4 linked regions of the Tamandua tetradactyla genome follow. The protein of the gene in region 1 purifies or fractionates together with the protein of each later gene. This does not show direct contact. Links are inferred from orthologs where the notes say so. Each region holds a gene or a part of one and is shown on either strand. Other genes may lie near its edges.

Region 1 (7,957 bases):
TAGTGGTAGTCATAGTTGGCCTTGCCTTCTCAGCTTTGATCTTTTAAGGAACAAATTAAAACTCAGTACTGAGCATTCATTTAGTAAATGCACTCATTCGATATTTATCCCTCTCTTCCCTACCACCTTTGTGTCATTTGTCTAGAAAGAAAAGGAATGTAGTAAGATACCATTTTTAACTCCGTCCTACCAAACTCTTAGTCATCCTCTATTTTCCTTGGGCAGTGAAACTCTCAAATTTCTGAGTACCCAGAAATTTAAGGACTGGGAGGGTACCATTTGGCTTTCCAGAAATGCATACCACTTTAGGTTGATTTGTGTCCTGCAACCATAGTTCTCTTATTTTGTTTCTCATGGTAAATAAACTAAATTTCTACAAGAGCTTCTTGGCTTGCTGTTTGTTTCTTGGACACTTTCTTTTTTTTTTTAATAATTTTATTTTATTTTTTAAATATCAAAAAAAGCCCACCAAATAAATGCAGACATTCCTATTTTGATCATTCTGTTCTACGTATATAATCAGTAATTCATAATATCATCACATAGTTGCATATTCATCATCATGACCATTTCTTAAAAAAAAATAAAACGAAAACAGAAAAAAAAAATTATACATACCGTATCCCTTACCCTCCCTTTCATTGATCACTAGCATTTTAAACTAAATTTATTTTAACATTTGTTCCCCCTACTATTTATTTTTATTCCATATGTTCTACTCGTCTGTTGACAAGGTAGATAAAAGGAGCATCAGACACAAGGTTTTCAGAATCACACAGTCACCTTGTGAAAGCTATATCGTTATACAATCATCTTCAAGAAACATGGCTACTGGAACACAGCTCTACATTTTCAGGCAGTTCCCTCCAGCCTCTCTACTACATCTTGAATAACAAGGTGATATCTACTTAATGCGTAAGAATAACCTCCAGGATAACCTCTCAACTCTGGAATCTCTCAGCTATTGACACTTTGTCTCTTTTCACTCTTCCCCCATTTGGTCGAGAAGGTTTTCTCAATCCCTTGATGCTGGGTCTTAGCTCATTCTAGGGTTTTTCTCAATCCCTTGATGCTGAGTCTCAGGTCATTCTAGGATTTCTGTCCCACGTTGCCAGGAAGGTCCACACCCCTGGGAGTCATGTCCCACATAGACAGGGGCAGGGTGGTGAATTTGTTTGTTGTGTTGGCTGGAGAGAGAGGCCACATCAGAGCAACAGAAGAGGTTATCGTGGGGGTGACTCTTAGGCCTAATTTTAAGTAGGCTTGACCTATCCTTTGTGAGGTTAAGTTTCATATGAACAAGCCCCAAGACTAGGGACTCAGCCTATAGCTTTGGCTGTCCGCACTGCTTGTGAGAACAAAAATTCAACTTGGGGAATATTTTTTTCTCAATGATTATTTTTAATTTCAACTTAAATAATTTTAATTTCAAAAGTAATAAACACTAAAAAAAGTACATATTTTTCACTTGATAAATGTTAGACATAGATCTAAATTGCTGTGAGAATGGTAGAAAGCAAGTATTCCCCTAGTCCATTTTTTACTGCATTCTTCTATCTATTGCTAGTTACAGCCAGTATTTATTAAACACTTTCCATTGCCTGTCACTGTTCCTGATTACACTGGTATTTTGCTTGTCATGTGAAAGGACTTAATTGGGTGAAGTGCCTTTGATTAAAATATGTCCTTTTTAAATTTTTATGTCTTTAATAAACAATACATTCACAGAATTCAAAAATCAGTGAGTGTGAAAAGCTAAACTGTTAAAAGTCTTCTTCCCGCCTTTTCCCTCAATATCCAGTTGTTATCACTTTCCCCCAAAAGGTAACCATTATTATGCCCTTAAATCCTTCCAGAGATTCTTTTTAATGTATAAACAGGCATATATGAATATATTCTTCCCTATCACCCTTTAATACACAAATGGAAGCATATTATTTAACAATTCTGCATCTGGTTTTCTCACTTAGCATATTTTAGACTTGTCCATATCAGTGTATTAGTTTCTTCACTCTATTTTTACTTCTCTGCATAGTCTTCCATTGTATGATATGCCATAATTTATGTAAGTTTTATTTATCAAAGACATTAATAAAGTCCTTTTTGATGGACTTTTAACTTATTTCCAATGTTGCTATTATGAACAAGGCTGCAATGAATAATTTGATCATGCACTGTATAGGTGGGACAAGTATGTTTAATCTCCTAGAACTGAAATTTATATTTTTTACCTTTATTTTGAGTTTCTTTCTTTCTTTTCTTTTTTTTGACATGGGTAGGCACCGGTAAATGAATCCGGGTCGTTGGCATGGCAGGGAAGAATTCTGCCACCAAGCCACCATCACACTGCTCTTGAGTTGCTTTCTTAAGCAGTGTCCCCAAAGCCCGCCTTCTCAAAATTTTGCATACTACTTTGATAACACTTTCTCAAGCTACATTCTTTCTGTAAACATAGGTAAGCTGGTGATAATAACTTTTTTGTGAGTTTAAAAATTAAATTACAGGGCGGTGCGATGGTGGCTTAGCAGGCAGAATTCTCACCTGCCATGCCAGAGACCCGGGTTCGATTCCCAGTTCCTGCCCGTGCAAAACAAAACAAAACAAAAACAACAAATTAATGTGAATATAAACAGTTGCGTGAACTGAGATATGAAAAAAGTTGGCGGTCCTTGCCTCTTCAAGCTTATCTAATTTAGGACATACATATGAAATTGTGAAATTAGACAAAATTTTGAGAAGCACTGAAGAATCATTGCTAAGTCCTTAAGAGAGTGATAAAGAAAGAAAATGCTATAAGTACTGTTTTGAAATAATGTTCACTGTACAATAGAAAGGGAACAGCGAGGTGAGTAAATACCGAGATAATAGAAAAAATTTAAAAAGCAGAAACAAGTTTAAAAATACAAAAAGGAAAATTCAGGCTTCTGTTTGACTCCCTCTCTCTTAATTCTCTCAATTACCATCTAGTATTTTCCTTATTAACATGCTTATATTTCCCCATTAATGTAAGGCCAATAGAAATACTAACCTGTAAATGGACAAATTTTATACATGTAAAATGTTATCAATAATAATTATGTAAGCAATTCAGACCTTAATGAGAAAGGTAACCTAGAATCAATTACGTGACAGGTGTTGGGGAGAAAAAGGGTTGCATAGGAAAAGATTTGACTATAGAAGTTTAGAATTGAAAAGGATTTTAAGAGTCCCAACTCTTAATGTTACATGTTTGTAATCTGAAGTCTACAGTGGTGGAGAGTTTTGAACAAAGACACAAGTTGATTTAGTGACAAAGCTGGGAACTAGGATTTGGGTCTTCTGACTCCCAACTCCTTCCGGTTTTCTCCTAAATTACACCACTTGTGCTTGAAAAAAAACATAGTAGATTTTGCACAGGTATAATTTTAGAAGCCTGTGTTAGATCTGTGAAGGAAAGAATGAGTACCTAACGTGGTGCTTGATACACAGAACCCAGATGTTTGTTTAGGAAGCTGAGGACCAAAAGGATGAAGTGACTTACACATTTTTTCCCACCTAGATGTGATTTCTCCCTTCTTTTACTTTTTTTATCCTTAACTCTTTTCAAATACTTCAAGTTTGTGTCATAGTAAGTGTGTATGTCTGTCTAGTCCTACTTTTAGCCCAATTCCCAAGCAGCTACATTAGGGCAGGGGCTGGTCCTGATTTATCTCTACATCCTCCATTGTACCCAGCACAAGATCTTAAACAATAGCAGATATCTCTAAGTACTACAATAGATATGTTGCATTCTGGCATATCTGAATGGGAGACATATTCCAGAGGAGGGAAGGAATACCCAGAGTTCTCCCTATCTGAGCCTATCCCACCTCACTCTCAAAATTAGATTGGGAGTTGGATTCTGTATGAGGAAAAAATAGGAACGTCCAAAGACTAGGTCAGGTCTATTGCTAACTACATTGATTGCTCTCTTGTTCAATTGGAAGGCCCCACAGTCGTTTTTTCTGCCTGAGTTGATTCAGCTAACAGTGAGTTATTAAATTCCTAGTCCTGTGTCCTTTAGTCAGATCAATCCTTTTGGAGAATAGGAAATGAGATAGCTATCCATTAAATTCGGCAGAGAAACATGCCTGATAAGCGTCTGGGGAGCAAAGAGTCGCCAATTAGTGCCTACTAAGTACCGGGCTCTAGTCTACAAGCTGGGGATACAGCAGTGGAGACAACAGGCAAAATTCCTTGCCTTCTAGATGCTTAAATTCTACCGGGGCAGGGTGGGGGAGGGAGATGGCAACAAACAAGGTAAATAATAAAATGCATAGCATATCAGATAGTATTAAGGCAAAAAAAAAAGAGTAAGTAGGAAGTATATATGCTTGTGTGTATGTGGGGGGGCGGGGAGTGCAGTTTTATTTATGAGGCCAAAGAAAGCGTCTCAGCGAAGATGACATTTGAGTAAAATACCAAAGGAAGTGCGAGAAAAATAATGGATTTCTACGGACCATAAATGTCTTCTTGGTTATATATGCGTAGCATCTGTTTATTTGTAAGCAGCTTGTAATAATTTGGTCCCACCACAGCTTGAGTAGAAATAATGAAACGGCTTCTTCTCTGGGTAATATGGGAAGCTGAAAGAAAGGAGGCCAGGCGCGGAAGAAACCAGGTAGAAGATAATTAATTCCCCTCATATTAGTTGAACCGGTTCTGACAGAAAAAAAAAAAAAAAAGCAAATTAAAGTTCCTGTCCCTTTAAAAATGGCGGCGCCTACTCGCTAACAATACCATTGGTTGTACAAAGCAGGAGGGGGCGGGGCGAGAGGCCGGGCACGTGGCGGCGCTGAGGAGTCCCGCCTCCTACGGCGAGTCGTAGGTAATAAGATGGCGGCCGCTGAAGACAACTGTGAGGTTACGGCTGAAGCGGACCAAGAATTAGAAGAGCTTTTGGAAAGTAAGAGTCAATAACTGGAAAGGCCCAAAGGAGGCGGGTGTGAGGACCCATTCAGGGGATTAAGTGAACCTGATATATGTGGGGCAGAGTGGGAGAGGCTCTCCAAAGGTTGGACGGGGGCGGGCGAACCAGAGTGAAATCTCTGGATCACCCTCTCCCTACTCAGCGGCGGGAGCTGCGGAGTTCACCTTGGGTCCCTGAGCGGCCCAGACCGTTGATCTCTCTGGGAAGATATCCCAGAGATGGGAAAACTGTAACCCATAGGACGATATCTCTCCAAGCTCTCCTTGCTTTAGATCAATACATTCTTTAAGTTTGACTTCCTTTCCGCCAGCAGCAGCATTTTGTCCTCCGTGGACAGCGAAGCAGATACTTATAGATTGTTCACATTAAATCTTCAAAAGCCCTAGATTGTCTTTCAGTGCCCCTGGCCTGTCCACACAAAAGACACTTCGTTCCTCCTCCCGTTATTTTCACCCTTCTCTCACCCCTTTCCAGTTCTTTGATCCTGTCATTAACTCTAGTGGATTTCTGCCCCATTTGTTTAAGAAACTGAGAGACGACCTCAGGGGAAGCCAATTCACTCTCATAAAAGACGATGTTCTTTTCTTCTTTTCCCTATTCTTCACAACTCTGTTGGTTTCTTGCCCAGAGTGGGGTCAGTGCCCTCCCCCCAGGCCTGGCAAGCAGAGTGGTGGTGACATCACACGCTTTACAGGGCGGAGGTGAATTTTGCGTCTCTAGCTCAGTCATAGTGATTGTGGGAGCGGGGTGGGGGGGGAGAGGGGTCAGAAAGATGAACAGAAACAGTGGAGGAGTGTCAATTGAAGGTGAATTGGCACGTGATTATTTGCAGAGATGAGACCAGAGGGATAATTAAATTGGACAACAAGAGAAGATTTAAAGCCCTCCCAGGGAATGCATAATGTAGTCCCGCAGTTTGCAATAGTACCAGGTCTGATAGGAAGCTAATTAAGCCTCCCATGAATTAAACTAAACATCATGGTTTCTGTTTTCTTGCCTAAGATTATTCCCTTTACGTCTCCAAAGTGAGTTCAGGGAGCTATGGATATCTATGTTCCCTACTCCTGTTGGATATTTGTATAGAATTTCTAGGGAATCATTAATAGAATGTGTTGAGGAAGGCACAGTAGAGATGGAGGTGTACTTTGCTATTTGCAGCACTTCCTTTAACCTTCTTCCAGCTCTGAGACATATTTGCCTATTCTACCATAAATGATTTCTTTCCCTTTGACTGTAGTAAATTAGGTAATGGGGAGGGAAGTGGGAAGCTTACTGTGGTGTAGGTGGGAAGGGAAGACTTAAAAAAGAAAAAAAAATTAGGAAAGTTGGCAGTTTGTAAGATCATTCTCTTAATGCTTTGTCCCAAAAGCACCCAGCCTTGCATCCTTACCTGTCCTCAACACACTCCCCATGTCTCTTGTCTCTGAAGGTGCTCTTGATGATTTCGATAAGGCCAAACCCTCCCCAGCACCCCCTCCTACCACCATGGCCCCTGATGCTTCGGGGCCCCAGAAGAGATCGCCAGGAGACACTGCCAAAGTATATATTCCACCCACTTAAGGGAAGGGGAGGGAATGTTCTTGCAGCTCTGAGCAGAGGTGGGGCAGGGCAGGCCCCTGTGGGCCAGAGGGGAGTGGGGCATGGTGCCTTGGCCTCACATTGCTGAGTGCTTTTGCAAATGTCTGTCCTCGTGAAACAAGGACTTGAGATTGAGTGGAGGAATCTAAAGGAAGTTCCTTGAGAAAAGAGAAGGTTTAAATAGCTGGCTTGGGGTGCCACCCTATATTCTTCCCTCAGTGGTTGGATGCCTTTCTTTCTGTCCTCATCAGGAGAGGCAGTTAGAATCTCCAATGGAGGTGAGTAGGAGGGAAGCACTGCATTTCCTTAGAGCCATTCTCTGTGGCTTCTGCTAGGGCCCAGGTACAGTGAAATGCCAAGTAGAAGATGCATTTTGACCACCCCTCCCTTGCAGGATGCCCTCTTTGCCTCCCAAGAGAAGTTTTTCCAGGAACTGTTTGACAGTGAGCTGGCTTCCCAAGCCACTGCAGAGTTTGAGAAGGCAATGAAGGAGTTGGCTGAGGAAGAGCCCCACCTGGTGGAACAGTTCCAAAAGCTCTCAGAAGCTGCTGGGAAAGTGGGTGAGAAGGGGTCTCCAAACAGCAGGAAATACATAAGCAAGCCATTTAAGTCATATCTGCTTGAGAACACCAGAATTCTTAGTAAGGTTGACAGTAGTCATGATGCCACTGCCTTGGGGTCAGGTGAGGAGATGGAGGGAGGAGTGGGAACCCTCCTTAGTGAAAGGGATGAGATAGGTTGGAAAGTAATAGAAATGATTATTCAAAACTGATCATTTTTAAGATCACAATGTTATTCTGGGTGTCATCATGCAGAATAAACAGATACACAGTCTGTGCAGATTCATGACAATGACTAAGATACCATAGAGTAGTAGATTTAGTGTGGTAGTGATTCAGTAGTATTTGTTCCAGATCCGAGCTTGTAACCAGGTCAGTCTAACCAAGTAGACAGTTACAATCCTAAATGACCCTGGTTTTTTTATTGCTCCCAGGCAGTGACGTGACCTCCCAACAAGAATTCACTTCTTGTCTAAAGGAGACACTAAGTGGACTAGCCAAAAATGCTACTGACCTTCAGGTAAGGGGATAGGGGCGGGAAACTACAAGACACCATCACCAACAGAATCTCAAAAGACAAAAGCTCTTGGGCATCATTCCAAGTCCTTCGCTCCCTTACTGTTTTGCTACAGGCAAGTGTAAAATAGTTCTTATCTGGGCTTCAACTTTCCCAAATGAGGGAGTGGTGACATATACCAAGAAAGCAGTATAGTTACTCACTTTTCTCCTGTCTTTTTTAGAACTCGGGCATGTCGGAGGAGGAGCTGACCAAGGCCATGGAGGGACTGGGCATGGATGAAGGGGATGGGGAGGGAAACATCCTCCCCATCATGCAGAGTATCATGCAGAACCTACTATCTAAGGATGTATT
Region 2 (8,031 bases), on another chromosome or scaffold:
CCGGATTAGGAAAGGAGACAGAACCACTCTACCCCCCCAGTCAATCTGACTGCAAAGCCCTCCCTCCGTCTGAGTGGTCCCAGAGGATGAGAAAAATGGGAGGGGGCGGGAGGGCTGAGAGTTAAGACTTGGATGGGGGAGCAGCACCCTCCACTCTCTAGCTCTCACTCATATACTCAGACCCGCTCTCTGCACCAGCAGCTGTGAGGCGGAAAAAATTCGGTAATGGGGCTTGTGAGTCAGAAGGGCGGACCGAGGCTGCTGTGAGCTCATCACCCCCTTCTCCCAGGCCCTCCCTCCCACACCAATTAATGTCAACTTGGGGAAGGGAGGAGCCAGACGGAGGGGGGATGGGGGGATCAGAGAGAGACTGGAAAAGGCATCAAAGAGAGGGACAGACGCACAGCAATCTCAGGCTTTATTAACAAATGCCTTAAAAACCAGATGGGTCTGGAGGAACGGGGGCGGGCGGGGGCTCCTGGCCCTCTCAGCTCTCCAGCTCCTCTGCCCAGGGGCCCGCAGCAGCCCTGCACCCACCTCTCGGCCCCAGAGCCCCACTTCCCAGTGCATGCCCTCTACTGGCAGCCCCAGCCCATTCCCAGGAAGGCCTTCAAGACCTAACTCTTGGGAGCCCTCTTTGCTCGGCGTCCTGCTCCACAAACATCTCTCCCAGGCCTGAAGCACAAACAGAGCTTTGCAGACAAATGGACCAGGAGATTTCTTAGTGCAGAAAGAACTGAGGGTTGGACTGGCTGAGCTCTGGGGTCCCCCTAGGAATGGGAAGGAAAAGAGGGATTCCACTCTGAGGGGCTCAAACGCTACATGCTCGACACTGCAGATGTCAGGCAGGCGGCGGTGGGTCCCTTCCCCTCAGTGGGCCTTAGGGTTCTGAGTCCTGGGTGGGTTGGGGATTTGCTGAGGGACCACTCACCCTCCCCCAAAGGGCTGTGGTGAAGGGAGCAACTGGCCCAAGCCCAGCTCTCAGGCCGGTTGGAGTCACAAGTCTTTGCTGAACTCTCTCACCAACATGTACCCCATGTAGCCCCAGCCCCCCTCAGCCTGGTAGCCGCAGCCCTCCAGCATCCCTGCCACCCCCCAAGCTGCCACAGCCACTGGGACCACAAGCTGGGCCTGGGGCTCCCCCATGCCACCTGCCCAGGCCTGGGCTCGGGATTCAGCGAAGGCCAGCAGCCTCCTGCCCACACCCCGGCGGCGGTGCCAGCGGGAGACAGAGAGACGGGTGACCTGGGCCCCGCCTCCCGCATGTGGGTGGGGGGCCAGAGCCAGGACCCCGCACACATCACCAGAACTCTGGACTGCTACCCAGGGGCCCCCCAGGCTGCCTGGAGGAGGCAGTGAGCCCCACCGGGCCCTCAGGCCCATCTTCACGGCAGCCACTGCCAGGAACACGGGCAAGAGGAGGGCCAGGGCGAAGGAGGCCAGGATGAAGCGCAGACCGCTGCTGGCTGCCGCCAGGAGGAGCAGGGCTGGCGGCCGCGTCAAAGCATGCAGGGCCACACGATTTTCCATGTCCTTCACGCCGGCCTGCAGGTGGGAGGGGTGGTCAGAGGCAGGGACAGAGGCAGTGGGCAGCAGCAGCCGGTAGGAGGACTGACTGACAAGAAGGGAAGGCAGGTGGTAGGTCTGTGGTGGAGGGACAGGCAGGGATCACATCTGCTCTGTTCACAGAATTCTGTGCACTGGGTGTTAGATGGGTGAGTGAAGGAATGAGCAAATGAATGGATGAGTGAATGAATGAATGGACAAACAAGTGAGTTAGTGAATGAGTGAATGAACAAGTGATGAATGAATGGATGGGCAAGAGTATAAATGAATGAATGAGTGAGTGAATGAATTGCCAAATAAGTGCCTGAATGAGTGAACAAATAGATGAGTTGTGAGAATGGGTGAGTGAGTGAGTGAATAAATGAGTGAGTGAGCCAGGCAGTGAAAAGATGAGTGAATTAGTGAGTGAGCGAGTTGTTGAATGAACAAATGAGAGTGTTGAATGCAGGGGTTAATTAGGGAATGAATGAGTGAATTAGTGAATAATGCATGAGTGAACTGGTGAACACATGAATGAGTAAATGAATAAACAAACAAGTGAATGAATGTGGAGCATTAATGATTGAGTGAGCAAATGATAACAGTGAATGAATGAATGGCCAAGTGAGTGCCTGAATGAGCAAATCATGAATAAGCAAATCTATGAATGAGTGACTTAATGAATAGATAAGTGAGAATGGATTAATGAATAAATGAATAAGTGAAAGCATGAATGAATGAATGAGCTAGGGACTGAAAAAGTGAGGAAGGGAATGGGTAATGAGTGAATGAATGAATAAATGAAGAGTGGATTAACAAATGAATAAGCCACTGAATGGATGAACAAATGAAGTAGTGAATGAATGAATGAAATGAAAAAGGGGGTGAGTGAGTGGGTGGGTGAACTGGGCGCCGCCCCCACGGCAATCCAGGCCCATTGGTGGGCACCAGGGACGTGACCCCGGAGGGGTCTCAGGGCATCCTCCTCCAGGCAGCGAGTGCTCGGTCCCAAGGGGGCCCGGTGGGGGTGTCCGGGCCTAAGGCGGGCCCCTGGAGATGGCAGGAGGGGGGGGCCACGGCCGGGCCGAGCAGGCTGGAAGCCAGGAGCCCCGGGACGGCAGTGGGTGCCGCGGCCGGGGTAGCTGAGACCTGGGGAGGGCGAAGGCGAGAGGGACGGGGCGCGCGCGGCGGGGTGGGAGGGGAAGGCCGGGCGGCAGGGGCTGGCCCCGGCCTGCACCCGCTCGGGCTCTCACCTTCAGCATCTCCAGCACCAGGGCCTTCTCCTCCTCCCTCATCTCCCGCACCGACAGGTGGCCGGGGGCCATGGCAGCCCCGGCCCGTGCCCGGCAGGACAACGGTGGGGCCTGCGGGAAACGCGCAGTCAGCGGGAACCGGGGGTCACCGGCGCCAGCTCCCACATCGGCCGCCGCGACGCGACCAGCCCTTCCCGGCGCGCGCCGCGGGAGCGAGGCCCTGCAGGGCCGTCCAGGGGGTCGCGGCGGCCCGGGGCGGGGGCAGGGCGGCGGGGTCGGGAAGGGTCGCGGGCGGAAGTGACGCGCGCCTCGCGCCGCGGGGGAACGCCTGCACCCGCCTTAGCGCCCGCGGCCCAGCGTCCCGGCGGGGGTCCCGGGCGAACCGGCCGCGGGCTGGAGCGGGGGTGGCTGCACACGGCCGAGGGTGCCGGGGAAGGAGCGGGGACGGCCCTCCTCTGCGCACTCCGCGTCCCCACGCCCCGTTGCTAGGCGACCCGGGCGCGGAGCTGGAGTTGAGCGCCGAGCCGGGGTGGGGACGCGGCGCCCGGGTTTGCACTTACCCGCGCCGGGGCCCCCGCACTTGGCGGCCCGAGCCGGGCGGCTCTGTCCGGGACCGTCCACCCCAGCCCACCGGGCGCCGGGGCCCGCGGCGCCCTTAGAGATAAGTGCCCACCCACGCCCGTTGTTCAAATGAGGGCGGGGCGACTTCAAACACAGGCGTCCTTCTTAAGGACGGGAAGCGGCCCCCAGAGAAGACTGGCCCCAAAAGTCACAGGTGCAAGACCGAAGACTCCAGGGGCCCAGGCCACTGCTGTGACCGTGACCTCGCCCCTCCCCCCTCCCTCTCCTCTCCCCCCTCCCTCTCCTCTCCCCGCCAAAGCAAACAAAGGAGAGAAGGTTCTGAGTCTTTATTAACAAAGCCAGCCTACAATCCACTCCCGCCCGCCCGAACACGAGCCGGGGGGTACCAGCGGGTCTCCTCAAAAAGTGTGCACCAGCTGGACTGCCGGGAGAGTCTGCACAATCTGGATGGAGGGCAGGCCCGACTGCGCCACGCCTCCAGCCCCAGCGGGGACCACTTGTACCATTTGGGAGGTGGGACTGACGGGGAGGCCGGTGGGGCCAGTGCCTGGGCCAGGCGGGGGAGGGGCCAGCAGCTGCAGAGTGGCCGGGCCTCCCCCCAGGCTGCTGCTCTCCATTAGCTCTGGGGCTTGAGCGCTGCGGATGATGAGGAGTTTCTGTCCTGGCGGGCCAGGGGCTGGGGGCTCGGCCAGCCCAGGAGGGAGGGTCTCTACCTCCTGCACACAGAGCCGGGTCTGCTCCCCATCGGCCCCGCTCAGCACCAGGACACTCTGCAAGCCCTCGTCCGTCTGCAGCGTCTCGAAGTGGACATCCTGGACCACACCGGTGCTGGTCTCGCCATCCCCCGCCTCACCGGGGCCAGGGCCTGGGAGCAACTCCTCCGTGGCCTCACTCTGAACTACTAGGAGGTTGGGGGCCTCAGCGGCCACAGTCCCCCCACTGGAACTAGAGAGCTGGCCTGCCACAGGCTGCAGCTGGACCGTGGTCACCTCCTGGGCCGGCTGCAGCTGGACGGTGGTCACCTCCTGGGCCGGCTGCAGCTGGACGGTGGTCACCTCCTGGGCCGGCTGCAGCTGGACGGTGGTCACCTCTTGGGCCGGCTGCAGCTGGACGGTGGTCACCTCCTGGGCTGGTCGGAGGGGCTGGAGCTGGACCCCACTCACTTCCTGTGGTCCTGCCTCCCCACCCCCCACGTTCTGCAGCACAATGAGACTCTGCCCTCCCCCACTGGCCCCTGCACTGCCCGCTCCCTGCACCCCCAGCCCCCCAGGGCTTGGTAGCCAGACCACACCAGTTCCTTGGCCAGCTTTCCCCACTGCTCGCCGGCCCTGCCGTACACGGCTGACCCCTCCTCCAGCAGCTGGGGAAGGCAGCAGGATGACCTTTGGGGGTGCGGGTGGGGGTGGCGGGGTAGGGGGCTGCACACTGCTGGGGATCAGTTGCAGGCCCTGGGCCGTCTGCACCAGCAGGAACGTCTGAGAGTTGGGGGTTGCTGGGCTCGGAGGTGGGGCCGAGGTGGGGCCGCCCGCCACCTCGAGGGAGAGTGTGGCCTGCAGATGAGGGAGAACATGGACATCTTGGGTGGGGGGCGGGGCTGCGGCAGACGCCAGTGGGGCTGGAGGCTGGGAAGCTGCGGCGGGGGCTGCGCCGCCGGGGGCCGGGTGCGCGGGGGCGTGCGTCCTCAGGTGCCGCTGCAGGTAGGCAGCCATGACGAAGCCGCGGCCGCAGACCGGGCAGGTGAAGGGGCGCTCGGCCGAGTGCGTGCGCTGGTGCAGCAGCAGGTTAGAGGAGTGCGTGAAGGTCTTGGGGCAGAGCGCGCAGCGGAAGGGCCGCTCGCCCGTGTGCACACGCTGGTGTTGCCGCAGGTTGGAGGTCTGCGCGAAGCTCTTGCCGCAGACGCCGCACGCATGAGGCCGCTCGCCCGTGTGCACGTGCCGGTGACGCCGCAGGCACGACGTGTTGCGGAAGGCCTTCCCGCACTCGCCGCAAGCGTAGGGCCGCTCGCCCGAGTGCAGCCGCAGGTGGTACTGGTAGTGCGATGACCACTTGAAGGTGAGGCCGCACTGGCCGCAGGTGAAGGCCCGCAGGCCCGTGTGCACGCGCTGGTGGATGGCCAGCAGCGAGGAGCGCTTGAAGGCCTTGCCGCACTCGCCACACTGGTAGGGCCGCTCGCCTGTGTGGTCGCGCAGGTGGTAGCGCAGCCCCGAGGAGCCCTTGAAGGCCTTGCCGCACTCGGCGCACTGATAGGGCCGCTCGGTGACCGCGGGAGCGGCCGGCGCAGGGGGCTCCTGCGGACAGGTGACCTCCGCCGCCTCAGCCTGCGGGGGCGGGCGCCCGGCAGCCGCCTCTGCCACGTGCGCCTGCTGGTGTGCCAGGAGGCTGGCCAGCTGCGGGAAGGCGCCGTCGCAGCTGCCGCAGCGGAAGGCCTGCCCGCCCGCGGCCCCGTGGCTGTGCTGGTGGCGGGACAGGCCGGCCCCGCTGCGAAAGGCCTTCCCACAAGGGAGGCAGGCGAAGCCCGGGGCAGCAGCAGGTGTTGGGGCAGAAGGTGGGGGCGGCGCGGGAGCTGGGCCCGGGTCAGGCCCGGGCGCGGGGACGGGAGAGTCCCGGGTCTGGGGCGCCGGTTCGGGCCCGGGGCAGGGCTGGTGGCCCAGGAGCAGCTCCTCACTGCCGAAGCCCAGCTCGCAGCCATCGCAGCGGTACACCAGCTCCACCGTGGTCTCCGCAGCTGCCAGAAAGAGCTCGGGGACCACGGGCTGCGGGGGCGGGGCGGGCGGGCTGTGGGTCTGCAGGTGCCGCTGCAGGTAGGCGTCCGAGGCGAAGACCTTGCCGCAAGGCACGCAGCGGTGCTGGGGGGCCGCGGGAACCCCGGGCGCGTTGGCGGCGGCCGCGCCGTGCGTGCGCTGGTGCAGCAGCAGGTTAGAGGAATGCGTGAAGGTCTTGGGGCAGAGCGCGCAGCGGAAGGGCCGCTCGCCCGTGTGCACGCGCTGGTGCTGCCTCAGGTTGGTGCTCTGCGTGAAACTCTTGCCGCAGACGCCGCACGCGTAGGGACGCTCGCCCGTGTGCACGTGCCGGTGGCGCCGCAGGCTGGACGAGTTCTTGAAGGCCTTGGGGCAGTCGGGGCACGGGTAGGGCCGCTCGCCCGTGTGCTGCCGCAGGTGGTACTGGTAGTGCGATGACCACTTGAAGGCCAGGCCGCACTGGGCGCAGGAGAAGGCCCGCAGGCCCGTGTGCACGCTGCGGTGGATCTGCAACAGCGAGGAGCGCTTGAAGGCCTTGGGGCAGTCGGGGCATTGGTAGGGCCGCTCGCCAGTGTGGCCCCGCTGGTGGTACAGCAGGGCCGAGGAGCCCTTGAAGGCCTTGGGGCAGTCGGGGCACTTGTAGGGCCGCTCTCCAGTGTGCGTGCGCTGGTGGTGCAGGAGCCGCGAGGACCAGCGGAACGACTTCCCGCACTCCCCGCACTCGTACTGGGCTGCGGGCGCCGTGGGCCCAGGCTTGTCCGCAGACCCCTCTGCAGTGGAGGCGGGCGCCATGTCCCCGTGGGAGCCAACCATCACACCTGGTGGGGGGGTGCTGGGTTAGGAGGGCCGGGGCTCTCATTCCATCTCTGCCCAGATGCTGTAGCCAGATGCTGGCCCTTTAGGATGCCCCTCCCCAGCCCACCTGGCTGAGGGCCCGGGGCCAGCTGGGAGCAGATCACTCTCCTCCAGGAGGCTGGCTGCCCCACCCCCACCCCAACTCCAGCACCCTGAACTCTTCCACTCTATTGAAGCCCTTCCTGAGTGGCCTCCGGCACTCCACTGCCCCTCGTCACTCTGGTACCCCAACTCCTAACCCCCAGGGTCCACCAGGTATGCCGCCCACTGGCCATCCCTCCTTCACGCCCTCACCCCCTCCTGGCCCAACCAGGACAATCACTCCCTGACCTGCAGTGCCATTGCCACACCCAGCCACAGGCAAGCAGGGCCACGGAAAGAGGAAGACCACAACCATGAGTGTGTGTCCTCACTGCTGCCCCCACGGCCCAGGCTGCACCACTCAGCCACACACACACACACACACACACACACACACACACACACACACGGCTGCCCACCTTTCTTTTCTTCTCAAACCTCCAACTCTAACCTCCCACTCCTGCTCCTGGAACAGGCAGCCTTGCTGTGGATTATTTCACAGAGGAAATAAAGGCATTGGAGAAGAATGAGCCTTCCCAGGTTTTCCAACCTCTACACCAGTGGATTGCAACTTCTCAACCGGGGTCAGCTTTGCCCCCCAGGACACTGGGCAGTGTCTGCAGACATTGTGCGATGTTGCACCTGGTGGGGCAGGCAGAGGGCTAGTGGCATTTAGAGGCCAGGCACACTGCTCACCATCGTACAAGGCCAAAGACCCAAAGGGCAGCAATGCCAAGGCAGGGCAACCCTGCAACACCACTGCCCACCTGGGAACTGGGTGCTGTCTTTCTCACCTTACCCCACTCAGTCCCAAGCTGCTTGGATGAGATCCCCAGCCACCCCCAAAGGGCTGAATGCAGTGGTCAGTTTCGGCAACGTCTCTGGTCACTCCCTCCTCAAGTTACCTTCCGTGGCTTCCACCTTCCCCGCCATCCCCTGGCTGTCTCCCCATTCCACTCTTCATCCCTTCCCAGTGT
Region 3 (7,110 bases), on another chromosome or scaffold:
TAAAAACTGTGATGGTATAATCTAGGAATGCCTAGAAAGTATAATGATAGTGATTAAATGTACAAATTTAAAAATGTTTTGCATGAGGAAGAACAAAGGAATGTCATTACTGCAGGGTGTTGAAAATAGATGGTAATTAATATTTTAAAATTTTAACTTATCTGTGAGTCTAGAGCAAAAAAATGTTTTTTTGGTACAAAATTTATATTTTGACTAGTGCAGTTCCTAACATAACTTATGTGGACAGCTTAATTGAACACTGTATGTACATGGAACCTTGAGTAGGGCATAAGATTTGGTAGGTTTGTCCAGAGTGATGCCCTAATAAACCTCAGAGTGATTTGAACAGTGAGTAAAAAAGTATTTGCAAAGTCCCCTTGGGGGAATGGTGAGAAAGGGGGAAATTTCAACTCTCCCCAAGTGGAGAATTCTTGATATTCTCATAAGCAGTGGGGACAACAAAAGCAATAGGCTGAGTCTCCAATCTTGGGGCTTGTTCATACGAAACTTAACCCCACAAAGGATAGGTGAAGCCTACTTAAAATTAGGCCTAAGAGTCACCCCCAAGAGAACCTCTTTGGTTGTTCAGATGTGGCCTCTCTCTCCAGCCAATACAACAAGCAAACTCATCACCCCCCACCCCCCGCCGTCTACATGGGTACATGAGACATGACTCCTAGGGGTGTGGACCTTCCTGGCAATGTGGGACAGAAATCCTAGAATGAGCTGAGACTCAGCATCAAGGGATTGAGAAAACCTTCTCAACCAAAAGGGGGAAGAGTGAAATGAGACAAAATAAAGTATCAATGGCTGAGAGATACCAAACAGAGTTGAGAGATTATCGTGAAGGTTATTCTTATGCATTAAATAGATATCGCCTTGTTAGTCAAGATGTAATAGAGAGGCTGGAGGGAACTGCCTGAAAATCTAGAGTTGTGCTTCAGTAGCCATGTTTCTCGAAGATGATTATATAATGATACAGCTGTCACAATGTGACTCTGTGATTGTGAAAACCTTGTGTCTGATGCTCCTTTTATCTACCTTATCAACAAATGAGTAAAACATATGGAATAAAAATAAATAATGGGGGAACAAGCATTAAATTTAGTAGATTGAAATGTTAGTGATCAATGAAAGGGAGGGGTAAGGAGTATGGTATGTATGAATTTTTTTTCTGTTTTCTTTTTATTTCTTTTTCTGAATTGATGAAAATGTTCTAAGAAATGATCATGATGATGAACATGCAACTATGTGATAATATTGTAAATTACTGATTATATACGTAGGACGGAATGATCTATGTTAATGTTTGCATTTGTTTGTTGTTATATTGTTAAAAAAAATTTTAAATAAAAAAAAATGGCAATTCTGTCCCTGATTCAGATAAGTTCTGAAATCTAGAAGGCCCAGCCTGTCGAGAACATCAGATAGTTTCATCTCCTTAACCCCTATATTAGTGTTAGACCCTTGCAATATGAAAAAGTTAGAATGGCCATAGCCCAAACACCCCTAAAGAGAGAGAAAGATCAAAGGTGATGGTGGAGTTATACAGTGACAATAGGATTTATCAAATGAATATGAATGCTGAATCATTAAACTGATACCTTTTTTAGTCTCGAGTATCTTAGAGCAGCTAGAATTAAAAGCCTAAAATCGTGGAATTATAATCCATGTCAAATTCTGAAATATGTTCTACAACTAATTGTGGTGCTGTACTTTGAAATTTATTGCTTTTTTGTATACATGTTATTTTTCACAAAAAAAAAAAAGGAGAAAAAGTTGATTGTGATGATAAAAAAAATTTAAGCCTTCTAGCCTCCTATATTCTGGAGCAGTTAGAAGGAAAAAAATCTGAGGTGATCATATGGCAGCCCATGACAAACTTTGGGATCTGCATAGTAACTACTTGTTGAACAGTGCTTTGAAAACTATTGCTTTTTTTATTTCTTTGCTTTGTATACATGTTATACCATACAATAAAAAAAAAAAATACAGACAAAAAAATGGCAACTCTGGTCTCTCACATGGAAGCCGTCAGCTATAGCTAAAAAGCAGCAACTACCTTTGGACAAGTGTTCTAGTTTGCTAGCTGCCGGAATGCAACATACCAGGAATGGAATGGCTTTTAAAAAGGGGAATTTAATGAGTTGCAAGTTTACAGTTCCAAGGCTGAGAAAATGACCCAATTAAAACAAGTCTATAGAAATGTCCAATCTAAGGCATCCAGGGAGAGATACCTTGGTTCAAGAAGGCCGATGAAGTTCTGAGTTTCTCTCTCAAGTGAGAAGGCACATGGTGAACACAGAGTTTCTCTCTCATCTGGAAAGGCACATGTCAAACACAGTCAGGGTTCCTCTCTCATCTGGAAGGGCACATGATGAACATGGTGTCATCTGCTAGCTTCTTCTCATGGCTTCCTGTTTCATGAAGCTCCCCAGGAGACATTTTCCTTCTTCATCTCCAAAGGTCGCTGGCTGTTAGACTCTGCTTCTCGTGGCTATGTCATTCTGTTCTGCACTCTCTGAATCTCCCATTTTTCAAAATGTTTTCTCTTTTATAGGACTCCAATAAACCAGTGAAGACCCACCCAAATGGGTGGAGACATGTCACCTAATCCAGTTTAACAACCACTCTTGACTGGATTACATCTTGAGGGAGACGATCTAATTACAGATCCAAACATACAGTATTGAATAGGAATTATTCTGCCTTTATGAAATGGGATTTAGATTAAAACATGGGTTTCCTAGGGGACATACATCCTTTCAAACCAGCACAACAAGTAATGGCTGGCCCTCCAGTTTTCCATCTGGTGTCCCTTGCACTAGGCAAATTCTTACAGTAGAGTTTTAAAGAACAAAAACGAAACATTTCCTGTAACCAAGTCTTTATCAAAAGATGAAAACAGAAAGACAAGAGGATATATGCTTCAGGGCGGGCCACGGTGGCTCATGCCGGAGAACTCGGTTCGATTCCCAGTGCCTGCCCATGCAAAAAAAAAAAAAAAGAGAGAGAGACTATATGTTTCTTTGAGGAAATGAAGAACATTCAATGGTGATGAACAGAACTACAAAGTATTTCTGTTGAATGAATATATCTTAAACAAACAACAAGCCAAAGAAAGTTAGGATTGTGATTTGCCCTCTCTGTGCTTCACTCACTTATGTGACCTGCCTGACTCCGGAGGACATCTGACTTTGAAAACCCACATCTAGATTGTCTGGACCCAACCTTATTGGAAATGCTGACTAGCATCCAATCTCCCTTGAGTTTCGAGTTGATGGAATAAATTCCTGATGTTAACAGCTGTTTCCTTCCAAGCTAACCTTAAGGGTCTAAGAAGAATGGCCAGGAACATTGTTCGCGAGGTTTGTGGAGACCTGTTAAAATCTGATACAGGCCTGTAAGGAAGTGGTCAAAATCCAAGCCCTTTAATCTCTTAGTGTACAATTCCAGTACTTCAGTTTTCAAAGCGCTTCCTACCTTCTGTCACCTGGTGAGCTTTACGAAGCGGGCAGGAGCAGGAGTCACCAGATGAGGGCACACCGGACAGTGGGGACCGGGAGGCCAAGCGCCCTGCTGGAAGTCACACGAAAGCATGTATCAGACCCAGACCTCTCTGCCTCCCCAAGCCTTCCGGAGGGTGGCAGGTAAACGGCAGGAAAGAGAGAAGTGGAAATGGAAAACAGGGATCTGCGAAGAGGAGGCAGGCTGGAAGGGGCAAGGAAAGGGCAGGGGAGAAAGAGATGCAGGGGGGTATACGGCCCTGGAAACAACCTAAGGGAAAGGTCTTCTTGTCCGGAAGGTGAGAAGGTGATAAGCAGAGGCGGCTCGTCTGAGGCTGTCCAGAAACCTCATTCCACCAATGGCAAAACGGAACCCAGAGATGAGGTGGTTTGCCCATTTCTGACAGCAGGGTGGGTGGGAACTAGAACCTAAATCTGATCCCAGTCCAGGTGCGAGAGAGACATGAGAAGGCATGAGGCAGGCAAGGAAAGGGAAAGGCTCTACCGCTAGCTGGTGAAGCCGTTAGCTGTCAAGGACCCACAGGGGTTCAAACACCCTTAGCAAGCGACTTTGAAGTTGCCGCTTAAACGCGACCAAAGCCTCCCGCAGTTTCCGGGTGGAACGCGGCGTCGGAAATGCCCCACCGGCATTCGGGGACTTTTCGGAACGTCCCGAGAGACGGTCAGGAGCTCGAAAATCGAGGCAGAGCTTTTGGACACGTCAGAGCAGGAATCTAGCATCAAACTGCCGCCGATAGTTCAGAAACTGCATTTCCTGAGAAGCATTCGGGAATGTCCAAGATCACCGGGGAATGGTGAGGGAGCAGGAGAAATGAACCGAATGACACTCGGGAGTTTCCGGAGCTGTTCGAGGCCCATTCGGGATCTCTCGGCTCTTTGAGACCCATTCAGGAGTCTTAGGTCTCTCGTTGCTCCGTTCAACGCCTGTGTCGTGCGGACGACGCGTGCTAAGTCCAAAAGCGTTCGGGATCGGCCTGAGAGTGGCGCCCTCCGACGGCGGGAACTGTCACCACTTCTGGCAAGGCCTCGGTCGGGGGGCCAGCACGCGCAGACGTACTTAGTCCCTGGCGGCCGCTCGGCCCGGACGTGGTTGCCGTTGAGGTCATTTCCGGCGGGTGACGGTGCGGACGGGTCAGAAGCGTAGAGGCGGCGGCAAAATGGCGGCGCCTGAGCAGCGGGATCTAACCCAGGAGCAGACAGAGAAGCTGCTGCAGTTTCAGGTAGCAGCGACTACTTGGTGCGGCAAACGCCGCGGTGAAACGGGGGATGGGTTCCCCGAGGAGCCCAGAACCCTCCTTAGATTGGGCCCAGGCGGGATCCTTCTTAGATCAGCCGGCAGCCCCCTCCCCCCCAGATGCCAACTGCCCTGCATCCCTGGTTTCCCCGAGGCCCGGATCCTCTCTGGGTGCCCGGCCGTCCAGCCTCTTTTCCCTATCTTTTTATCCTTGGCGGGTCAGTTGCCTCAGGTTTTCCTCAGCGGCTCCCGTCCTCAGCCATCTTTCCCAGCCGGGCTACCGGTCGGACCCTCTCCGCCCAGCGCCTACTCTACAGATGTGTCGGAGGTGCTTAATCCCTCCCGCGGAGCTGGCTTCATTTCGGGTCTATGAAAAACTTCCTACCTGCAGGCCCTGTCTGTTCCTCCTACATTTACTGCTGGCCTCATGGCTGTCAGGTTTCCTCTTTGGTGGCGGAGAGGGCGCCTGTTGGCGGGTCTGGCCCCTCACCCTCAGAATCTTAAGTATTGACAGCGGCTTCTGAAGGAGCTCATTATTCAGGATTTATTCCTGGACTACTGTGCTTGACTGTGCCTAAGGAGGGTGATAACTTGCAGGGGTCTGCCTCCTTTTATTGGCTGTTGTGTTCAGTACATTTGGCACTAGGCATTTATCTCAGAGCTTGGAATCTGGTTGGAGAAGGCCACTAGGGTGGGTAACCTTGGCTGTTTGTTACCTTGGTGGATACCAGTTTCCTTATCTCTAAACTGTATATCTTAAAAATGTCTCCCTTCAAAGGATGTTGTAGAGATCAAGTAAGCTTATGGAGTCAGAAGTACTTTCTAAACTGTAAAATGCTCCCAACAATCTGCTGCCGTTCATTATTATTTAAGAAAGTAAAATTAGTGGTACACCTAGTTCTGCAATATTTATCAAGAGCCACAGTGCTCAGGCACTGTTAGGTACAATACCATTTATTGAGCATTTACTATAAGCACTTTGCCAAATGCTTAGCATACATTATCTTATTTAATACTCACAATAACCCTATGAGGTTGATACTGTTAGAGTCCCTGTTTTACAAGTGAGGACTCAAAGGCTTAGGCAGTAATATGCCTAGGTTACACAACTAGTAAGTGGTGGTGCTAGATTGAAAGTCAAGTCCATCTTTTCAGAACCTTTCTCTGGCTCTTCTGTGCTGTGCAACCTATATGTAAGTTTTAGTGTATAGCTGAAGGAGTGGAATGCAAATACTGTGATGCTAAGTTGTGCTGTGTTTTTTCATGTGTGCAAGTTCTCACTTTAATGTAATTTCCTTGAGTAGATTTCCCTATACTTAATTTTGAATTTTTTTGTCTTCCCTCATGGAATGGGTTCAAAGTATATAAAAGGAAAAACGATTGAAGAATTAGCTGACATTTGTTTAGAGTTTTTGAATAGAGAAATTGATGACACAGCAAATTAGAATCAAAGATAGATGAACAGTGGACAACTAGCTTCCATTTTCTACTAGATCACCCATTTCATTGGGAAGACCTTTTTACCCTTCTTACAGGGGTAAGTCCCAGTGTTTTAAGTGTAATGAGTTGATGTAAGTTATAAATAATGATGTGCTTGGTCTGGTATCAGAAGAGCATGAATATGTGGTAGTATTTCTGAGGTAAAGTGCATAAAAACTTCCATTTTGTTTTCGGTGGACATCTAGATCAGTAAGAGAGGTGGGTAGTAAGTTAAAGTTGTATTAAGGTTGCTTTATGAAATTGGGTTTAAGGAGGAGATACAATTTGCATTTATATATTCTTTTATTCACCTCTTGATCATATTCATCATTCAGATTACCATTAAACATTCTTTGAAACTTACTAGGTGTCAAGTGTTATACCAGGTAGTTTAAATCTCTTATTAACTCTGTAAAGTGTTAACCCGTGTTTATTTTATTAATGAAGTAACAGGTTCTGCAAGGTCAAATAATTCACACAAGTAGTAAGTGACAGAGGTTTAGAAATCCATATCCATAGCCATCTTACCTATAACCTTATGGGAGAAGCCAGATTTAAACACAGATAATGGGTATCCTGCAAGGTATTAGTGCTTGTGATGTAAAGTGGTATGAACACAGTGCTGTGAGAGCTTAGGAACAAGTCAGAGTAATTATGGTAAGGGGGAAGAAGTATGTCTTATAGTTACCTTTTATTGAGAATCTGCTATGCCCTAGGCATAAACATATAACTATTATGTTTAATCTTCACGGTAGCCTTGTAAAGCATAATAAGTGGTATGCTTACCTGCAGGTGAGGAAACAGATTTGTAGAGTTTTTTGCTCAAGGTCATTAAGCTGTTAAGTAGTAGACATGAAATTCGAATTCTAG
Region 4 (7,490 bases), on another chromosome or scaffold:
AAACTGTGGTATATACATACGATGGAATACTATGCAGCTTTAAGACAGGATAAACTTATGAAGCATGTAATAACATGGATGGACCTAGAGAACATTATGCTGAGTGAGTCTAGCCAAAAACTAAAGGACAAATACTGTATGGTCCCACTGATGTGAACAGACATTCGAGAATAAATTTGGAATATGTCCTTGATAACAGAGTCCAGCAGGAGGTAGAAACAGGGTAAGATAATGCCCAGTGGGAGTTGAAGGGATACAGACCGTGTAACAGGACTAGATACAAAAACTCAAAAATGGACAGCACAATAATACCTAATTGTAAAGTAATCATGGTAAAACACTGAATGAAGCTGCATCTGAGCTATAGGTTTTTTTTGTTTTGTTTTGTTTTGATTTTACTATTATTACTTTTATTTTTTTCTCTATATTAACATTCTATATCTTTTTCGGTTATGTTGCTAGTTCTTCTAAACCAATGCAAATGTACTAAGAAATGATGATCATGCATCTATGTGATGATGTTAAGAATTAATGATTGCATATGCAGAATGGTATGATCTCTAAATGTTGGGTTAATTTCTTTTTTTCCGTTAATTAAAAAAAAAAAAAAGAGAAGGGATAATTGGAGCTGAAGGGATACAGACTGTACAACGGGACTGGATATAAAAACTCAGAAATGGACAGCACAATACTACCCAATTGTAATGCAATTATGTTAAAACACTGAATGAAGCTGCATGTGAGGTATAGGTTTTTTGTTTTTGTTTTTGTTTTTCTTTCTATTATTGTTTTAATTCTTATTCTGTTGTCTTTTTATTTCTTTTTCTAAATCGGTGCAAATGTACTAAGAAATGATGAATATGCAACTATGTGATGTTATTAAGAATTACTGATTGTACATGTAGAGTGGAATGATTTCTAATTGTTTTGTTAATTCTTTTTTCAATTAATTAAAAAAAAACAGCTATAGGAATTATGTGTATGAAACAAAACATTAATGTCTAAACCATTATAGTGCTTTATGTAGTGTTTCTTAGTAAAAAGCTAATAAAGGTAAGAATTTCTTGAAAAAAAAAATAAGAGTGAAGGAGTATATATGCACAACTATATATACTGTTGGACTTCTCCTTTTCTACTGAAGATTATAATCTATTCCCTCTCTTTTGGTCCCTCCCTGCCTCCCCTTGCCTAGGAAAAATCACAAATGAACCAGTACAGTCTCCAGGTTTTACTGACATCATTCTCCTATTTACAACTGCATGCTAACTGGAGTTACAGAAACATTGGTTGCAGCAGAACTAAACATGAAAAATGCAGTATGTCCTTCTGGGATGCTAGGGTCTAGATATCAAACTGAACATGGATTAAAAAATAGAGATACAGAATTGTTCTGAGAGAAGAACTATTTCTCAAGGAAATTTACCTTTCTCAGTTCTATAATATCAATATACCCGTCTCAAACTTCTCAAGCTTCTCTCTGGTTAGGCTCTTCTAATAGCTCTTCTTACAGTTTTTAGCACAAACTTTAAATAAAGTACCTGGATGAAGACTTTTGATCCCAGAACTATTCAAATCTGCTCTGATTTCAGACCTTAGAATCTCACCAAACTGCTCATACTCTAACTCTACAGTGTGATCCCATCTAATGGACAAGATTACAGATTCTAAAGCGTATACATTTTGGGCAGAAGCCCTATTTATTTCCTACTTACATTCTCCACTCCTCAAAAACGTATGGCTAAGAATCCATACCCCAGGCTTTTCTGTCTGAATACAAATACATGAGCTACTCTATAAAGCAGTCGGCAGAGGGAACATGTACGGGTCTTGAATTAGTGCCGGCCGGGGGGTGAGAGGTGGTGCGTGCACTCTACTTGCTCGTGGCCTCGGCCTCACAGGCACAAGTAGATACACCCGCTCCCACTTGTGCCAGCCTGCTTTCCTGACGGTTTCCCTAAGAGCTCTTCCAAAGGGCAGTACATTGTTCCAAAGAACAGTTCTTCCCCAACTCTCCATGGATATTTATTCCTTCCCTTCTGCCACCCCACATCTCCCAGGATCAGACTCTAGCCTCTTGCTGTGTGTTTCAACGCTCCTAGGATACCACAATTCTTTTGATGAAGCTATGTGACCAGTCCATCTGAGCACTATTAGATTTCTCTGCAAGGTGAGAGTGTTTCTAAGATATTGATGCCACTTAACCCAGCAATGCTACTTCCAAAGCCAGGGAAACTGATGTACAGAAAAGCTTTGTTTTTAATATACAGATGTTCATCATAGCTTTATTTATAACGGGGAGAGACGAAGCAATCTAAACAAGCTAAATATCCAAAACAGGGGCCAGGAAAGGAAAATTTATGGACATATATAAAAACCAAATCTGATCAGAATTCAGGCCCTTAGTTACCATAACATATCTCACCTGTTATTGATTTATAAACAGAAACAGACACAGAACTGCTTAAGAAAACCTGGGTCCCCTCCACTGAAGAGCAGAATGACCATATTCCAAGATTAGGGCCCTTACATCACGAGAGTACAACCGCCTGTGGGAAATAAAACGGTGCCCCCTCCCAATCCCTGGCACCTGTGAATACGTGCCCCTGCACGGCTAGGGCGCTTTGGAGATGGGATCAAGTTAAGGATCCTGAGATGGGGCAATAACCCGGATTATCTGGGTGGGTCCTAAATGTGACCACAGTGGTCCGCAGAAGGGCCAGAGCCAGAGGACAAGACTGGAAGGTGCTACGCCGCTGGCTCTGAGGATGGAGTCTGCCACAAGGCGACAACGCAGTGGCCTGTGGAAGCTGGAGGAGGTGAGGGGCGGCCCCAGAGGGCATGCGCCCACTGCACCCTGGCAGCAGGACCTGTGACCTCACAGCCTTACAAGGAGAGGCAGTATTACGTCGGCAGCTAACCCTGTGGTAATCTGTCACAGCAGCAATGGGGAACAAAACCTTCAGCATACTATATGACTGTTCAATCTCTAAAATATCGAGATTCACCTGTAAACCCAGAAAAAGTGTATTCCAAACGTTGCTGAGCACTCAGGCTCATTCTGAGGCCTAGGTCATGATTGAAATAAGCCTCCCACACTACATTCCTCCGAATCACCCATGTCTTCTCCTCACATCAAGTGAGTCGAATTAAGTGGATTCAAAAACTGCTAACTCTGACTCCTACAAAAGCTAAGAAATCAGGATAATAGTAACAAAATAATGTCTCCCGTTTACTGACTACTCTTCCCGTGACAGCGTGGTCTGTGCTGCGTTCTTCTCCCCTGACCAGCCTGAGCCCAGGGTACTGCCCACTGCCCACTGCCCACGGGGCTCTCGTAGCTCCTCGGCTGTGTCAGGGTTAAGTGAGCGTCTAGACCCCAGCTGCAGCACCCAAGAGCAGTTTCATTCCTAGGAGAGCCTTGCATCTGCTGAAAGGACAGCAGCCGCGAGCCGGGTGGCCGCGCTAAGGGCACAGGTTTCTCCACAGCCTGCAGGTATGAACCTCACATCTCCAAACCCCAGGTTCAAGTACAAAACGCTGACAATCACGGCATCTGTCTCCTGGGGCTTCACGAGGACTCGACCAACGAGAATAAAGCACGGAGCCCAGCTGCTGGCCCATCTGTCCGCGCAGGGCTGGGCTTCGGGGCGCCCTCCGGCCCCCGGCCTTGTCCCGCCATTCTCGTCCACCTCCGCCCTCCCACCCGACTTCATTCTCGTTTTACAGGTTCTGGGGAAGATCCCGACACAGCTGTGGAAAAAGGGGGTCCCAAGGACAAGTATCTAAAGAAGAAAACAACGGGACAAGGCGAGACGATGCCGAGAAGATCCCGGGGCGGCAAGGAGTGCGGGCTGCCGGGACCGGGGCGCGGAGACGAGGCGCGGGAACCGGGTGCGGCCCCGACGCTCCAGCAGCGACCGCAGGGCAGAAACCCGGGCTCGTCGGGGGCAGCCCCGGGGTCGCCCCGGAAGCGTGGAGGCCTCCCGCCCCGCGCCGCCCGGGCCCCGCACTCTGTCCACTTCCCCGGCGGGGCGGCTGCCTCGGGCGAGGACGGGTCCAAGACCAGGGCCGAGCCCCGTCTCTCCGCGCAGCCCCGGCCCCGCCGCCCCGCCGCTCCTCGCGCCGCGCCCCGGTAGGGGTCGACCCTCACCGGCTGGCCTCGCCGTCCGCGCCCGGCTCCACGCGCCGACGCCCGCCGTGCGGCAGAACCATCGCGCCGCTCCGCCCGCGCCTCAGACTTTCCCGGGGAAAAGTTGGCGCGCTCCCGTCAGCTCTCGCGAGAGCCCGGCAACGCCGGAACCATCCAGTCAAGGAGCCGCGGCGCGCCCTGCCCCCTGGCGCTCCCATTGCCCCCCGCGCCCGGGGGCGGGGTCGCGCGGGTCTCGGAGTGGCGTGTGCGCAGGCGCGCGCCCGCCTCGGGCCCCTTCCAGGCCCTTTTACCGCCCGGTCCCCGGCCCTGGCCCCTCCCCGCCGCCCCCGGCATTGACCACCCCCGGCCCTGACCCCAGGACCATGACCCCCGCTCCTCCCCTCGGACCCTGACCTCCCCCCCTCCGTCCTCCGTCTGTCACCCGGATCCCGGACCCTGACCCCACGGGTCTGTGGCAGGGAACTCGGGGAAGGCGATGGCGCCGGTAGCCTCAAGGCTGCGGGGCGAGGCCGGGTTCGGGACGCTCCCGCGGCGGGCACTGGCCGGGTACCTTCGTCTCCTGCGGCTCTACCCCGTGCTTACCAAGGCGACCACGAGGTGCGCGGGCCGAGTGCCGGGGGCGGGTGTCTCGGGGGGGCCAGACCTGGGGAAGGGCTGGGGGACCCGGGGCAGGGGGCCTTGGAGCTAAGGTCCCGGGAGAGGCTGGGGGTCGCAGGGCAGGCGCCTGGGGGGCCAGGCCTGGGAAGGGGCTTGGGGGTGCAGGGCAGGGGGCCTGGGAGCTGAAGTCCAGGGAGGGACTGGGGGGCATAGGGCAGGGGCCTGGGAGCTGAGGTCCCGGAAGGGGCTGGGGGGCACAGGGCAGGGGGCCTTGGAGCTGAGGTCCAGGGAGGGACTGGGGGGCATAGGGCAGGGGCCTGGGAGCTGAGGTCCGGGAAGGGGCTGGGGGGCGCAAGGCAGTGGGCCTGGGAGCTGAGGTCTAGAGAGGGGCTGGGGGGCATAGGGCAGGGGCCTGGGAGCTGAGGTCCGGAGAGGGGCTGGGGGTATGGGGCCTGGGAGCTGTGGCCTGGGGAGGGGTTGGGGGTGCAGGGCAGGGGGCCTGGGAGCTGAGGCCCGGGTTGGGGCTGGGGGGTATAGGGCAGGGGCCTGGGAGCTGAGGTCCTGGGGAGGGGCTGGGGGGTATGGGGCCTGGGAGCTGAGGTCCTGGGGAGGGGTTGGGGGTGCAGGGCAGGGGGCCTGGGAGCTGAGGCCCGGGGAGGGGCTGGGGGGTATAGGGCAGGGGCCTGGGAGCTGAGGTCCTGGGGAGGGGCTGGGGGGCATAGGGCAGGGGCCTGGGAGCTGTGGCCTGGGGAGGGGTTGGGGGTGCAGGGCAGGGGGCCTGGGAGCTGAGGCCCGGGGAGGGGCTGGGGGGTATAGGGCAGGGGCCTGGCTGGGGGGTATAGGGCAGGGGCCTGGGAGCTGAGGTCCTGGGGAGGGGCTGGGGGGCTAGGGCAGGGGCCTGGGAGCTGAGGCCCGGGGAGGGGCTGGGGGTGCAGGGCAGGGGCCTGGGGGGGCCAGGCCCAGGGAGGGGCTGGGGGGCACAGGGCAGGGGGCCTGGGGGGCGCCGGGCAGGGGGCCTGGGAGCTGAGGTCCAGGGAGGGGCTGGGGGGCATAGGGCAGGGGACTGAGGGGTGAGGCCTGGGGAGGGGATGGGGCACGGGGAAGGGGCCTGGGGGGCAAGGCCCAGGTCAGAGGTAAGGGTCACCGCTGCATCCTGGCACAGTGCTGCCCACAGAGCGCCCCGTTACTGCATGGAGGAGGCGGGCCCAGCAGCTCCGGCCTGTGCCACAGGCAGGGTGAAAGTGCTCCATCATCTCAAGGACTCTCCTGCTGTCCTTGGGGAGCCACATTCGCCTTCCTCCCCTCCCGCCACCACAGGATACTCTTGCTGAGCTGTAGTGTACTGTCATATAGTGTAGTCACAACCAGGAAACACACATGGGTACAGGCACCAGCCTTACTCAGATTTCTCCAGTTTTCCCCGTAGGCATGTGTGTGCGTGAACATTGCATGCATGTATGTGTGTGTGTGCATGTGCGTTTGCTAAGTCCTGTGCTCCATTTAGGGAACTTTGACGGCAGCCTGTTTATTATTTTTTACATGGGCAGGCACCGGGAATCGAACCCGGGTCCTCTGGCCTAGCAGGCAAGCATTCCTGCCTGCTGAGCCCCCGTGGCCCACCTGACAGCCTGTTTAAAGACTTGTCTCGGTCCACCCGTGCAGGGTCCCCGAGCACCTGTGAATATGCCCGCAGAGAAGGGGCGCTCAGACTGACTGCCCTGGTTTCTGATTGCTCTGTCTGCAGCGGCATTTTGTCAGCACTTGGGAACTTCCTGGCTCAGCTAATTGAGAAGAACCAGAAAAAAGAAAAACGTTCCCAAAATGTAGATGTCATTGGGCCTCTCAGATATGCCATTTATGGGTGAGTGTCAATAAAGCTGGTTTATACCAAAGCAGACTAAGAATCAACAAAGCAGTTTTTTTGAATCATCTAATTTGAAAAAGCAATCTTTTTTTAAAAAGCATTGAAGTAATCATGATGGGAAAAATCAGAATGGTGTTGGAGTTATCTTCACTTACTTTGTAATTTAGTATGCTTTTTTATTTTGAATTGTATGGGTGGCTAGGGGTGGGGGGCATTTTAAAATGGACTGAGAGACGGACAACATAGCTCTCCAGAACCTAAAATCAGACTCCAAGACTGAGAGACCCTGAAAACATCCTAGGCTCGTGGGAGAGTGAAACCAACTCAGATAGGGCCGATATTTTCATGGTGTAAACACCAGAAAAGAATTGGGTATCCCTCTGAAATTCTGCAGTTTGTGAGCCACTTTCTGAATTGCAAAAGCAGAGATTCGGGAGTCTTACCCAGCCACACCCACCGTGAGCTTCTGTCTGAGAAGAGTGTGCTCAGTGGTTGTTACGAAGTCTTCTGCATCTGGAGGGATTCTTTAAAATTCAAAGTTCATAGTACCATTGTGTGCCTGTCAGCACACTAATGTCAGTCCTCGTGTCTCTCCCCTCATGTATTTAATGCAGAAACTCTCCAGGGAGGGCAAATGTATCAGAAGCACCCCAAAGGAATTATCCAATTACATAGTCTTCTCATCCCCAACATTTTATTTCTCTTCCCTGCTGAGAATCACTGCTATTGGGCATTTAATGTCTTATAGTGGGGAAAAAACAACTGTGAATCACTTGTTTAAAGATCATTTCAGTGTCAGAAGTTGAAAGAGTCCTGGATCCCTGCTCCCCTTTTTATTGCTGAATGTTTTGGAGTTGCAGGCCCCTCACCCCACAAGGC

What was found.
Region 2: the proteins of PEX19 (region 1) and NAT14 purify together in Homo sapiens (co-immunoprecipitation; 3 studies listed by BioGRID and IntAct, counting the BioPlex papers as one, with this or other methods). This does not show direct contact. The link is inferred for Tamandua tetradactyla from reciprocal best matches to the Homo sapiens genes PEX19 and NAT14.
Region 3: the proteins of PEX19 (region 1) and FAF2 purify together in Homo sapiens (affinity purification with mass spectrometry; 4 studies listed by BioGRID and IntAct, counting the BioPlex papers as one, with this or other methods). This does not show direct contact. The link is inferred for Tamandua tetradactyla from reciprocal best matches to the Homo sapiens genes PEX19 and FAF2.
Region 4: the proteins of PEX19 (region 1) and PXMP2 purify together in Homo sapiens (affinity purification with mass spectrometry; 3 studies listed by BioGRID and IntAct, counting the BioPlex papers as one, with this or other methods). This does not show direct contact. The link is inferred for Tamandua tetradactyla from reciprocal best matches to the Homo sapiens genes PEX19 and PXMP2.

The regions. Positions count from the first base shown.
Region 1 is NC_135330.1:13,332,628-13,340,584, reverse strand, and holds the start of PEX19 (peroxisomal biogenesis factor 19), read left to right. Parts: upstream 1-4,792; 5' UTR 4,793-4,854; coding exon 4,855-4,924; intron 4,925-5,695; exon of another isoform or gene 5,696-5,720; coding exon of another isoform or gene 5,721-5,754; intron 5,755-6,377; coding exon 6,378-6,487; intron 6,488-6,920; coding exon 6,921-7,086; intron 7,087-7,520; coding exon 7,521-7,606; intron 7,607-7,826; coding exon 7,827-7,957. UniProt on the Homo sapiens protein: Necessary for early peroxisomal biogenesis. Acts both as a cytosolic chaperone and as an import receptor for peroxisomal membrane proteins (PMPs).
Region 2 is NC_135342.1:4,247,206-4,255,236, forward strand, and holds NAT14 (putative N-acetyltransferase 14), read right to left. Parts: upstream 3,016-8,031; 5' UTR 2,871-3,015; coding exon 2,799-2,870; intron 1,546-2,798; coding exon 997-1,545; 3' UTR 402-996; downstream 1-401. UniProt on the Homo sapiens protein: Probable acetyltransferase. May act as a transcription factor that regulates the expression of coproporphyrinogen oxidase by binding to a promoter regulatory element.
Region 3 is NC_135346.1:57,868,368-57,875,477, forward strand, and holds the start of FAF2 (FAS-associated factor 2), read left to right. Parts: upstream 1-3,950; 5' UTR 3,951-4,684; coding exon 4,685-4,747; exon of another isoform or gene 4,748-4,906; intron 4,907-7,110. UniProt on the Homo sapiens protein: Plays an important role in endoplasmic reticulum-associated degradation (ERAD) that mediates ubiquitin-dependent degradation of misfolded endoplasmic reticulum proteins.
Region 4 is NC_135331.1:1,211,119-1,218,608, forward strand, and holds the start of PXMP2 (peroxisomal membrane protein 2), read left to right. Parts: upstream 1-4,407; 5' UTR 4,408-4,625; coding exon 4,626-4,747; intron 4,748-6,491; coding exon 6,492-6,608; intron 6,609-7,490. UniProt on the Homo sapiens protein: Seems to be involved in pore-forming activity and may contribute to the unspecific permeability of the peroxisomal membrane.